Linked DNA regions of Drosophila melanogaster. Each later gene encodes a partner of the first gene's protein in a complex. Each region holds a gene or a part of one and is shown on either strand. Other genes may lie near its edges. A codon is read from its position in the direction of its gene.

What was found. The genes of interacting proteins can lie anywhere in the genome.
Region 2: the proteins of IntS9 (region 1) and IntS4 are in contact, whole or in part, in a cryo-EM structure (PDB 7SN8), measured with the Drosophila melanogaster proteins. Residues at the interface, in NP_648838.3 of Drosophila melanogaster: Arg2 (codon at 3,972), Arg23 (codon at 3,848), Met88 (codon at 3,653), Lys90 (codon at 3,647), Met91 (codon at 3,644), Asp93 (codon at 3,638), Glu96 (codon at 3,629), Asp98 (codon at 3,623), Arg173 (codon at 3,398), Lys176 (codon at 3,389), Asp203 (codon at 3,308), Leu205 (codon at 3,302), Gly206 (codon at 3,299), Gly500 (codon at 2,360), Glu501 (codon at 2,357), Ile502 (codon at 2,354), Arg504 (codon at 2,348), Val544 (codon at 2,228), Lys545 (codon at 2,225), Asp546 (codon at 2,222); in NP_572488.1 of Drosophila melanogaster: Arg105 (codon at 4,133), Leu108 (codon at 4,124), Val112 (codon at 4,112), Thr115 (codon at 4,103), Asp116 (codon at 4,100), Asp147 (codon at 4,007), Thr148 (codon at 4,004), Ser149 (codon at 4,001), Lys153 (codon at 3,989), Glu156 (codon at 3,980), Gln193 (codon at 3,869), Met196 (codon at 3,860), Arg200 (codon at 3,848), His231 (codon at 3,755), Lys234 (codon at 3,746), Gln264 (codon at 3,656), Asp265 (codon at 3,653), Ser266 (codon at 3,650), Arg269 (codon at 3,641), Tyr302 (codon at 3,542).

The regions. Positions count from the first base shown.
Region 1 is NT_037436.4:16,101,589-16,107,376, forward strand, and holds IntS9 (integrator 9), read right to left. Parts: upstream 4,040-5,788; 5' UTR 3,976-4,039; coding exon 3,967-3,975; intron 3,906-3,966; coding exon 2,748-3,905; intron 2,691-2,747; coding exon 1,893-2,690; 3' UTR 1,846-1,892; downstream 1-1,845. Other genes in the region: IleRS-m (Isoleucyl-tRNA synthetase, mitochondrial), read left to right, coding at 1-722, 806-1,142, 1,198-1,845; CG43295 (uncharacterized protein), read left to right, coding at 4,264-4,314, 4,388-4,840; Zn72D (Zinc-finger protein at 72D), read right to left, coding at 5,366-5,788. UniProt on the Drosophila melanogaster protein: Component of the integrator complex, a multiprotein complex that terminates RNA polymerase II (Pol II) transcription in the promoter-proximal region of genes.
Region 2 is NC_004354.4:8,554,254-8,561,512, forward strand, and holds IntS4 (integrator 4), read right to left. Parts: upstream 4,529-7,259; 5' UTR 4,446-4,528; coding exon 2,343-4,445; intron 2,266-2,342; coding exon 1,300-2,265; 3' UTR 986-1,299; downstream 1-985. Other genes in the region: CG12112 (uncharacterized protein), read right to left, coding at 4,968-5,110, 5,173-5,326, 5,400-5,605, 5,668-5,770. UniProt on the Drosophila melanogaster protein: Component of the integrator complex, a multiprotein complex that terminates RNA polymerase II (Pol II) transcription in the promoter-proximal region of genes.

The sequences.
Region 1 (5,788 bases):
ATTCCTGTAAAGTGTTTTGTGAATGAGGAGGGCACTTACACCAAGGAAGCTCCTGATTTTCTACGCGGAAAATCAGTGTTGGATCAGGGAAATTCCCTAGTCCTCGACCGCATAGCAGAGGATGTAGTCCACTCCTCAAAGCTGGAACATTCCTATCCTATTGATTGGCGCACAAAAAAGCCTGTGATAATTCGTGCCAGTGAGCAGTGGTTCATTAATACCGAAAAGCTAAAGACGCCTGCTGCAGATGCCTTGGAACAAGTGGAGATCTATCCTAGAGCCAATGCTGAGGCCAGCAAGAAGGCATTGCTCACACAACTCCAGAAGAGACCATATTGGTGCATCTCCAGGCAGCGAGCGTGGGGCGTACCCATTCCTGTTCTCTACAGTCGGGAGTCCGGAAAAGTGGTACTTAATTCCGCTCTTATTGAACATCTTTGCAATCTGCTCCGCAAGGAGGGATCAATCGACTTCTGGTGGGTAAAATCCGTGGAGGAACTGGTACCCGAGCATTTACTTCGTGAACTTCACCATGAAGCCAAAGATCTTGTCAAGGGCACTGACATACTGGACATTTGGTTCGACTCTGGTAGCACATGGTCCGCTGTGCTGGGCAAGGATAAGATAGCCGATCTGTATCTTGAGGGTTATGACCAATTCACCGGTTGGTTTCAATCATCACTGCTTATGAGCATTGCTGCTCGGGAATGTGCACCGTACAAGTGAGTAGATACGTAATACCAAAGACTCTATTCTAGTGTAATACTTTTTAATGAAAAACCTATTCAATATTAATATCCAATAGGGCCCTCTTCGTTCACGGATTTACCGTGGATGAGAAAGGATACAAGATGTCGAAATCTTTGGGAAATGTAATTTCCCCAAAGCAGATAACCAAGAAATATGGTACGGATGCACTGCGTTGGTGGGTTGCCTCCCATGGAACGCAGCACATGTCCATTACAGTGAGCGATAAGCTACTGCAGCAAGCGGCAGAAAATCTATGCAAGATCCGCGGAACTATGCGATATTTAAAAGGCGTAATTGGAGAGAAACAATCGGGGGAGAAGCTTATACGAACTTCGGATAAGAGCTATCTTAATCGTTATTTGTTAAGCCAGCTGGTTGAATTTGAATCTGAGGTAGGAAATTTTGTTAATCTTAGTTTTTCAACTAATCATGTCAATCGCTTTTAAGGTGGAGAAGCTATACCAAGCTTATGAGTACAATCGTGTTGTCGCCTGTGTCCAAAACTTCATTGCAAATCAGGTGTCCGCCGTCTATGTGCATCTCATCAAGGATCGTCTTTATTGTGGTGATGATCACGAGCTACTGGCCATTCGTCAAACTCTTACCCACTGCTATCAACAACTCTGCAAGAGCTTATGGCCCATTGTTCCCTTCCTGGTGGAGGAAAGCTGGAGCTACTATGACACCACAGGTGGTGCATTCCACGAGCAAATTGTTCAGACTAATCCTGAATGGCAGGACACCAAAGCCACTGAAGTGATTAATGCAGCGTTCGATGTTAAACGACTTATTAACCAACAGGCTGGAGATGTTAACACCTGGCACTTGGCCGTGACCATCAAAGGAAAGGAAAGAAGCCAGCTGGATTTGCTGCGAGAACTTCACAGCCCTCTTGGAGAGTCTGTGAGCAATTCTGAATTATGCGAGATATTGCAAGTGGGGTCAGTTACGCTCTTACAGTCCCATAATAGCGACTTGGATATTGCTTTAAGTAAACTTCAGATATCACTGTGCCCACGTTGTCGTCGCTATGGTCTGGAGGATGAGCAGAAAACGTGTCAACGTTGCTCTGACGTTATGGAGGCAAAGAACTAAGCGTAATGATGTGTTGTTATTTAGGTGTAAGGAATACATTTATGTTTTTAAAAACTCTGTAAGCATTTCATGATGGTGTCTCGCAGCTTGAGCCGGGTTGTTGGCTTTCCGCCGCAGATAATATGCGTCTCGTTGTCCTCGAACTTAATGACTGTGTCCTCATTGACAAGGTTCAGAGTCAGAGCGCCGCCAGTGCGGTCTAGCTTGATGTTGGAGAAGCCATCCTGTGCCAGCTTCTTCATCACTGCATCTACATCAATGCTGCCATACTCGTATTTGACGTTCTTCAGCACATCCTCCTTTGTCGGAGCGCTGTTGCTCGAGATGGTCTCGTCTTTAACGCTATCCGCACATGGCTGGATGCAGTGGACCTTGTCCTTAACTTGCAAAACTCCTGTCAATGTGGAGAAGGTCACGCCGGCCGCCACCTCCTTTGGCGATATCTTTTGGGCCAGTTCCGAGGTAATGTAAATTCGATCCAGCTTCCGTTTTAATGGCAGACGTATGATCTCGCCGCACTTGAACGTTATTATCTTCTTATCCGGCTGTTCAATGAACAAATTTGGGGCCGAGGGATGTGGTTTTGTGTATGCCTCTGGGATGACAAGCACATTTGGTTTCAACTCCTTGATCAGCTTATTTGCCTGCTGATAATTCAAAGAGGTGTCGATGGGACAGTAAAAAGCCTTCATGGCCAGTGGTTGGAAGGGCGCCAGTACTTGCAGATACGGAAAGTCCGGCTCCGTGAATATGATGGAGTTGTTAGGGTTATTGCCCCACATCTCGATAAAGTGAACAGCGTCGCCGAAACGCAAGCTAGGATGGCCACAAAAGACCACGCAGGGCTGTAAGGAAGACAGAGAATTTGTAGTATGAAGTTTTCACAATTATGTTAGACAAACCTGCCGGAAGTCCTTGCTAAAGCCCTCGGAGAACACATGGTTATAGTGCTTCAGCTTGTTGTTGCGAAGGTAAAAGGCATGTGGGAAAGGATCGTCTGGAAGATACACTTTGTTCTGCTTGGCGGAACTAAGCCACTCGGCCAGGATATTAGAATACGCCAAGGAGCTGTCTGCCACAGGGGAAATAAAGAACATGGGAACATTGTTTAGGCCAGCGTTTTCCAAATTCTGGGTGAGGCACTCAAAGAGGTCATAGACAACGCCCGAAGGATAACAGGGAATCAAGGCAGACCCATTGTTGCGGATCGTCAAGGCCACATTCATGCAGAGCTCGCCCAGCTTCGTGTCCGGATTTACCGTCGGCGCCTGCGTCAGTCCGGTCATAATGAGTACATCGGCGTGCTTCAGCGCCGACTGATTGATGGGCCGCGGATGTGTGGTCAACGTGGAGGAACCACTGACATAGCAAATCTTTTCATGCGCCGTGCTCAGTACCCAGTTGCTCGAGCCCAGGCAGTAGCCCGAGCTGACAGGAGTGGCGATAAAAGCTCCGAGGATGTCCAGCTTCTCGTCGTAGCCCATGATGGTCACCTTGGACAGACTGCCTTGGACATCCTTAAGACTAAAGATAGTGCGCCACTTCTTGGCGCGAAAGGCTTCGCTCAAGGGACTGGGCAGCAGATGAAGCTTCTCCTTCCACAAGCGCGCGGTGCACGCCTTGGGCGACACTTCGATATAGTCCACCAGCTCCTCCAGGAAAAATCGGCCGATCTGCAGCGTTGGCTCCGTGGCATAGACTTTGCCCTTGAACCCCGTGTTTTCCGTGATATACGGCAAGGCCAGCATATTAAGATAATTCGAGATAAGTATCACATCCACTTCGCTGAAATCCAGCATTTTGTCCATGGGTAGATTAAACTCGGGCGTCGAGTCCACGAAAACCCGGCCACAGCAGTCCTTCAACTCGCCATCCATTTGGGGATCATGATCCCGACTGGGCACGAAGTTGGGCAGATTGGACCACTTCAGTGACTGAACGAAGGGCAGCGGAAGGAAATTCAGGACTGTCTGCTCCGTGAGACCGCAGTCCAGCATAATCCGCAGGCCCTTGAAGGTAATGATATAACATGGCTTGGCCAGGTCCCCGCTGAGACAATACTGCAAAGTGGATAGTCACTTCCGCTAATTAAGTTGTTATTTACTTCTCAGGATGACTTACCAATCGCATTTTATTAAACCGACAGTGCCGATTAGACGATGCAAGTTTGTTTATATTTGGACCAGGGATGGGGAACGATTTGGTTCACTTATGAACCGGAATCAGCACCCGGCTAAATCATTAACCATAGGTACCAAAATTAGTTAATTACAAATTTTGGTAAATGTTTTACTACTTGTTAAACTGTAGTCATCACGCTTTAACATTTGTGCAACCACATTTTTTTCACTCCACTTGTTGCAGTGCTGTTGGTTTCCATCCCTGGTCTCTTTATTTGGTTTTTCGCAAATTTGAATAATGTCCCAGCAAATTCGCGTGGTACAATGCATTCAATGCAAAATGTACCAGGTGAGTGCAAACAAACTGAAATATATCTTAGAACTCAATAACTACTTATATATATATACCTAATTTAAACAAGGTGGACTTCGTGAAAAAGGCAAGCACATGGCAGTGTAAAATTTGCCGCCAAAAGCAAAGTTTGCTCAAGGAATTCTTTCGAGGATCGGCAGCGGAATGCCGGGTTAAGGTGCAGCATCTCAACTTAGAGCGCGGAATGCAGGAGGAATGTCTGAACACGGGCTTATTCCTCACGGCAAAGCAACAGCTCGAAGAGGAGAAAGACTGCCAAGAAAAAGAGGAAAACACCACACCTCAGAAGAAAACAAATAAATGGGCAAACTATGTGGATAATACCATTGAAACTACTCAAAAGCCTGCAGCAAAACCTACGAAAACCGATGAACTTTCCGACGAAATCTCTATGAACTTTAAGAAAACCAGGAACACAGGGCCACGATCCTCTAAACGTTCCGCTGAAAATATGCCAACAGTTACTAAGAAAATTTGCTCTAAGTGGAACGACTTCTTGTAATTCCTTAAAAATTATATATCATATATATAAATATATATTTGAATTAATTTCAATTAGAACTTATTTATAAAGCGAAGAATATTATCAGTGCTAGATTATCTCCAATTAAGATTTCCAGTTACGTGAATGAATTAAGCTTATCTTTATTAAAAAAATAATTTAATTATAATTGTTCAATACGTTTTATTAAAATCCGCTTCGTTCTAGTATTTGTGTATATGAGTGTGAGGGCCATAATGTTCACATTCAAACTGAATACATTGCCTTGCCTTGCACTAATGCTAGAAAAATACAAGTTTTATGATCCACTAAATATTGTTAGTTAAAGTTGGGGTAATTTGGGATTCACTAATCGCCGATTGGGCAACATGTTGGACATGCTTAGCTCCTTGTGCCCCAATCGGTTTGAATACTCGTGTATAGATTAGAGTTGGTTATAGTTAAGTGACGCCTGGTCGCGCTTTTATCTTGAGAGAAATTGTAATATTAGTAGCCGACTACGTGTATATAACCTATTCTCGCCGCTTAGGTGCTGGCAGGAGTGCCTCCGACACCCTCCTTCTTGGCCACCTTCTCATCGGAGCCGGTCTCATCGATGTCATTGGACTCGGTCTCCGTGCCGGGTGCACCACCTGCCTTGCCCGATGACCTACGTCGCTTGCGGTTGACACGCCATGGACGCATTGGAAACTTCATCGCCGGCAATGGCTCCATGCCAAGCACTTTGTAAATCTGTCGAAAGGCAATGTAGCGCAGGAAGAGCTGTGCGGACACAGTGAGATCCTCGCGCTCCTGTTTGGTCAACTCGAGTAGAGCGTCTGTGGGGTCCTTCTCGCAAGGATCCAGCAGGCCCGGTCCGTTGATTAGAAAGCCTGACGATAAGGCCTCCATGATGCGACGCATGCAGTCACCGGGCGAAATGGGAAAGCCAGCCGACGAGATGACCTT
Region 2 (7,259 bases), on another chromosome or scaffold:
TCAATAACAATGTGGAAACTGAGAAACCAAACGTAAACCAATTAACTAAACTAATATTTCCTCCTTTGTCGTATGAAATAAAAAACTAACTAAAGTGTTCATCAGTGGAATTTTCGAAATAATCGCTCGTCTTCGATGACAGAGCTTAGACTTCGATAGCGATAGAACCACAACAACAAGAACAACAACAACAACTGCACTGCCTGTGTCGGGTTCTATTTTACATTTACATCTACATTTACAGAATCATAAGAATTCACACACTCTAATAAGCGCCAGTCGGAGGAATTCAGAATTGAAAACTCAGAATGCCGAAAGCTAAACAACATCCCAAGCAAACATTTTGAAACTAATAAAGGTAATTTGCACAATACTGTGATTCCTAGCAAGAAACAATGAGACACGATGAACAATTAACGATAAACGCTATTAATTATCGACTTTTGTGTGTTTGTGTGGTTTGGAAATCGATGTGTTTGTATTGTACGTATATTTTTCACAGCATGCTGAAAAATGTTTGCAACAAGAACTATTTATCTAACCACTCAGTAATATCCAACTTGATCAATTTACTTGCATATGATTATTACGATTATTATTGCTAACCAAAGGCCCAAACAATAACTTAAATATAACGCAGAATGAAATCGAAAACAAATGATAAAACAACAAGAATACAAAGTACTTTTTTAAAATGAGTTTTTAGCGAATCAAATATAAACTTAAGATTTAAAAAAAAATTCGTATACAACAAACAAGCATAAATGATAGCAGCGTCTACAAAATCCACAACCAGATCAGAAAAAGCAGGAGAATAATCAAAACGAGAAAATGGAGAAAAGGTTATCCAGAAAAATGATCAGAAAACGTGTAAGCTGTAAAACCTATAATGAGAAATAAACTATAGAAACTATATGAAAAGAACAAGTCTTAGGCATTTCATTCCCCCCCACAGTAAGTATTTTAAATGATGTACGATTTTCTTAAAGATTTATGGTACACACTTTATTTGAAATGAATTCATCTTAAACATATGATTATGATATAAGTAAGCTACGCACAACTGATGCTCTAAACATTCGGTTTTTTCGATTTAGAAAGAACTTTGGCAACCAACTGCTATGGTATCTTAAACAATCACATACATATATTTAAATAACAGTTGCTCGTTGCGCCAATTCCCTGGGCTCTCCTCCTCCCCCTCCTTCTCCTCCTCCTCCAGCGGCTGTGTGGCCTTGTCAGCTTCTCGCTCCGCGTCGCCAGGACAAAAAGCACCTAGTCCATTACCTGGAAGTCAGGCTAAATGCCCCGCCTGACTGGTTTGGGTGCGAACAGCACCTTTGCCGGCTTGCAGAGCTCCAGTTCGCTGCCGGGACGCACGGCCAGGCACAGTTGGATCTCCACCAGCGACGACTCCGTCCAAACGCTGTGCGACAGCAGGATTGTGGTGCGCAGGCGCACATTGGTCTTGTGCTCGCCCTGCTCCGTCATAATGGGCTTGAAGTCACTCTGCTTCGGCACCACGGTGTGCATGTGCTGGTCCGGATACTTGATCTTGATCCGCATGTCCGCCTTCTGGGACTCCAGCAGATTGTCGATTTCCGCAACAAAAGGAACGGCTGCTATCAGGCCAGCCGTGACCTTAATTACATTATCCTGCGATTGCAGCGGACACGGCTCAAGGATGTTGGCCACACAGCGGCGTATTTTGTCATTGGCGGGTGGCAATGCAAGCGGAGGAGCCTGCTGGACCAGCGGCAGAATTTCGCGAAAGACGCGACCCGGCTTGGGATCCGATATGCCATCCAGTTTGATTAGCAGCTGGCGGGTGAAGCTATCCGGCTGGGCATCCCTACTGACCGACTCTTTCATGGGCATATCGGTCTCTACCACCGGTGGCTTCTCCTCCTCATCCTTCGTATTCGCCTTGATGAACTCACTTATATCGCCGGCGGTTTGCAAAAGCATCTGGCACGGGCCCAATGCACTCTGTGAGCGATCCCTGACCACGAGGACCAAGTGAAGCGCGCAAGCCCTCAGGCGCAGCTGCTTCACCTGCAAGATATCGCCGTAATTGAGGCCGGAGAAAGTGTGCTGCAGCTTGAGACAGTTTCGGATGAGTGCTGCCAGTGATTCCTTCAAGGGCACCCTGCTTCGTTGCGTGCTGGCGCAACGCTGCATCTGTTCGATCTGGATCTGGGCCGCCAAGAAGGTCTCTAGAAAGTTTGAGGTGCCGTACATGCCCGCATCAATGGATCCCAGGCGCTAAAGTTTATTAAAAAAAAAACATAGTAAACATTAGTGTTCATTTATATTGTAGTAAGCCCAGCGGGCATACAAACCTGCAGATTAGATTGGGCAGTCTGGAGCAGCTCCAAGCGCTCGTCAGTCATGGTGAAGATCTCTTCGATGTGACTGAGAATCATCTGCAGGTACTCCGCCGAACTGCCCGCTTGGTGCATAGCCGAATCGATCCTGTGCGTCGCACTCGCCGAGGACGCACCCTCAATGGGCAACTGGGGCACCAGATTCGGCATCGAGTCTCTCAGATAGGCGTAATGGCGATGGGTGGCCGTGGGCAGCAAACTGATAATGGGCACCAAATGTTCTGCAGCATTGAAGACAAGTATCAGAACGCACAGATACGCTGGATCCTCGACATCGCGTTCGGGCGTCTCGAAAAAGGGATGCACGTAAAGCAGGTGAACGGCGACAGCCATCACCAAATGTGGATGCTTCTGGCCAATCTTGCGCATGCAGGCATAGGTGGAGTTACGATCCTGTGGATACTTGGCCAGCACATCTAGCAGCTTCTGCACCACCATTAGCAGGCACGTTTGTGTGGACACTCTACAGGCGCCCAGCATGAGATGTAGTCCCTCACGCACGTCCACGGAGTAATCCTCAAGCGATCCAAGCATTATCTCCAGCTGATCCTCGCGCAGCACTATGTGCTTGGCAATGGCCGTTAAACTATAGATGGCCTTCAGCCGCACATCCTCGATCTCATCGTTGAACATGTCCACAAGGAAATCTAGGCTGGTCACCGCGAAATCCGGTCGAGAGAGGGCCAGCTTGCACATGGAGGCCACTGCCGCAGTACGCACCTCGAGGAACTCATCCTCTAGGCCATGTATAAGGGCGCCACAGGCGCCGCTGGCTATAATTGAGATGCTCTGAGCATCGAGGTGCTCTTGCGGCGCATCGTCCGCCCACCGTTTACCCGATGACCACTCACCGCTGGCCACCAGGCGAGCACCTCTCTCGTGCGCCGTTCGCTTCCGGCGCAGATTGCTCATCAGCTTTTTGTCGAGTGTCTGGTGTAGGAACTCCCTGCTTACGGCGGTCATCCCACCGAGCAATTCCGCTGCGAGCACGCGAATTTGCAGCGATAGATCGCACAGGGCTTCGCAGACCTTGCTGAACGCAGCGTCTATCATGCGCAGCTCCTCCTGCTGGCGGTCCGAGGGTAAAATGTAGTCCGGATGCCGATTGCCCAGCATGAAGACCAGCTGTAGAGCTTCCTTGCGCACACACTCGTAGTCATCCTTCATGGCCTCGACGGCACGCTTATAGAGCACCGCCGGCAGTTGGGATCCCCGTTCGCCGAGGGTCAGCAGGGCGTGCAGAGCCTGGGCACGAACGCTCGAGTCCTGCGAGTCGATGTAGAAGGCTAACTTCCATACGTAATGACGCTCACCCTCCATTTTGGTGGCAAAACGACCGATTACCAGCATGGCGTTCTTCTGCGTATGCGCCGAACCGGAGCGCAGCTGCTCCTTGGCTAGGTGGGCCACCTGGGTTTTGTACGATATGGGCAACATGTGCTTCCTGCGCTCCCCGATTCGAAACAGGCACATCATGCCCTGGGCGAGCACCTTTTGGGACACCTCCTTCCTCAACAAGAAGATAAAGTAGTCGATGATCATGGTAAGCGCCTGCTCGGTGGCACACTCGCAACCCAATCCGGACAGCAGCTCGAGCAGCTTCACCCGGATGGAGGTGTCGCTATCGCGTTCCTGCAGCTGATACAGTTGGAAGATCTTGCTGGCCACCTCCTTAAGCTCGCCCATTTCCACGTCCTCATAGGATATCTCATCGGTTATCTTGACCAAGAGCTCCAGCAGTTCCCTGCTATTCGCGGCCGTCATTGGGGGAGCTCCAGTCGCCGCAGCCGGCGGATTTCCGATGACACCTGTTGACGGGGCTCCCGTCGAAGCAACTGGTGTCCCAGTGGGCAGGACCAACGCACCGGCGGGCAGGTTGCCCACATAGGCGTCCAATTGGTTGAGCGCCGTCAGCTTGCGCTCCACATTGCCCACTTTTCCGGATTTCCCGCCCTTGGCATCAGCGGCCAGCGTTTGCAGACGCAGCTTCTTCACCGGCGGCGACCCGTCCACCGTTTCCACGTAGGTGCCTACGCGCTTCTTAATGGCCAGCGCCATGGTTTCCTTTTCCTTTGCGCGATTCAACCAATGCAGACTAGAGTTGCACTCTTCCACCTGGTTTAGGTAAACCGCAAATTAGAGATGGCACACCACTGATGCCAACCACCCGCCACTAGCGATGGCATCGTGACCGCGCAAGAGGTTCTTGCTGGTGGATAACCCATAACTAAATAAATTGCTTTCACAAGAGTGATAATGCTAATATCACCAGGCATTTAATAATTATATTATTTTAAAAAAATGTGTCATTTAGTAATCATATAAAGAAAACGAGGCATATTTTTTGGACATTTCACTTTGAAGGCGTGAAACATCGATAGTATAGTGAAAAATCGATGTTTTCTTTTCGTCTTTTGTTTTGCTCTCGCTCTTCTCCATGAAGTGATAACTTCTCAACAAAGTGATGATGATCCATCAACCACTATTTGGGTATTCATCCTCAATTCGGATTGATTCGCCCGTAAATCATTACTTATATTTAAATCCTTGTTTCTACTATGTCATCTCACATGGGCACAGTTATGATTTCTCCACGCTCAAAACGGACAAGGGGTCATCATCTACCTTGCCCTTCTTTTTGGCTGCGCAATTCTTAACGCATCTCATGGCTTTGAATAAGACTTTTTCCGAGGGTAGCGTCGGTTCCACCTGACCGATGGCGTCTGTAGTTGGGGATAATTATTGAATGGATCACTAAAAGTTGGATGTCGAGCACTAAACTTACTCATAAGCGAACGAAACAGATGTTCGTGATCTTTTAGTCTTTTCTTTTTCTGATTCCCATCAATATTGTAGTTCAGAAGGATGTCCTCGGAGAAAATGAGTCTTATGGTGCGGCTTAATCTTCCCTGGCGCAGGAATTTCCGCATGGAATTCGTCTGATCAGGGATCATATAAGTACAACTATATAATATTCTATTGATGGAAAAGCATGAGGAAGGAGAAACTTACATAGATCCCCCTGGAGTCCTGGCTTATCTTGTGATTCACTTCGACCAGATCCTCCTCATACATAATTGGAAAATCATCGTCCGGATTTCCCTTCGCCTTCGGCTTGGTCGTTTTCATCGACTGCTTAACGAATTCCGTAAGTGTCTTAACCGCCCTCGTCAAGTTTTCGATTTCTGCGCGCTGCGACAGGACTTGGGAATTGAGTTCTAAGTGGGTTAGGTAATGTAATATGATCCGGTGTTATAAGATATGTATGTCACAAACATACCATCTATCTTTGTTAGCAGCATGGCATTGGCTGCGATATGACTATTCTCGGTGGCGAGGCAAAGTCTCTTGATTTCAGGCATTGCTTCGTTAATTTTTAGCATTAAAGTGAATACATATGTATATTTAGTTTATGAATTGAGGAAAGTCCCTAATGGAAGCGATTCGCTTCGCTACACAGTTAAGCTCCAAATGGAATTCCTCGCTGTTTCATCATTGCCTTCGCTAGGCGACGAATGGGAAAGTAAGGGCACGGGCAAAAACTCCCTCTTGCTCATCACATATGAGTAACTGGTGAATCAGTGATGACGACGTCTGATTAGCGGCGGAACTGTACAGTAGTACAGAGAACATGGTGAAAGCCAGAATATCGCATGACAACCAATCGCATAAGCCACAGGATAAATAATACTAATTGTTTATAATAATCACAATGTTTTTAACGAATTTAGTTGGTGATGCGTCCTGTCAGTTGAGTAGGTGGGAATAGCATGGACTTTCCCCAAATAACAAATGCTAAGTTGGGTTTTTTTAAAATTGATTTAATACATTTTTTTTATGTTACAGTTAAATTTGAAACTATATTTAACAAGCAATTTGGATGTCATCGATATTTTGTAATAGGACCATTCACTTAGCGGAGTCATCAACCTTGGCGAATCTAGCGAGCACATCCACCTCTCGCTTATCAGGTCTATCGATAACATCGCTCATCAATCGATTCGTGAACCAGCTCTATCGCGAAACGGTCGCGTGTTCGCACGCAAATTGCAATATAAATCCACAGAAATTGACAGGGAACGTTGCTAAAGGGCGAAAAACAATCGTGCCGCGATTGAGGCCTGCGATCTGCACAGGAAATGCACAATTGCGAAGCGCAATTTGATAAATTCGGTAATGTTCGATTCTCGAAAGAACCAGTCGTGTGCGTCTGTATGTGCTTCAAATGTCACTCTGTGTGCGGGTGTGTGGGGAGTGCATAAAAGGCATAGAGGCAGCAAGGAGTGAAAGAGAGAGCTCCATCGGCAGCGCAACGAAAGTGAGCGAGAAGCAGAAATTGTTAGTGCTTATAAGGATATGTGAGAAGGGAGAGTGAGACAGTAAGAAAGAACGGAAGAAGCAGCAGCGACGCCGACCGACAACAACTGTAATTTTCCATTAATTTTTGGGCGGGTTTTGTGCTGCACAATAATACAACTGGCATAATATAACTTGGCTTATTTTTTATAACCAACATGTGTATTTTGTTCACGTTTTGCTGCGTGTGTAGGTGTGAGTATATGTATGTGTGATAAACTTGAAATACAACGCAATCGCAACGAGAACCAAAACTTGTCAAGGTAAAACGGCTAAAAAAAAAGAAGAAACGAATTGTGTGTGAAAAATTCCAACTGAATTACGCGAGAAATCATGTGAAGAGCAGTTCGATACGCATGTGTGTGCGTGTGATAGAATACGAGGATGAGAGCGGGCGTGCGTTTGGAGTAGTCTGCTTAATTGATTTTCGCTTAATTACTGCAGCGGTTGCATAAATTAAATGTTTACATTTGCCCCGGACAGTGCTGTAAAGAGAGAGAGCCCTTCGAAGCCAGG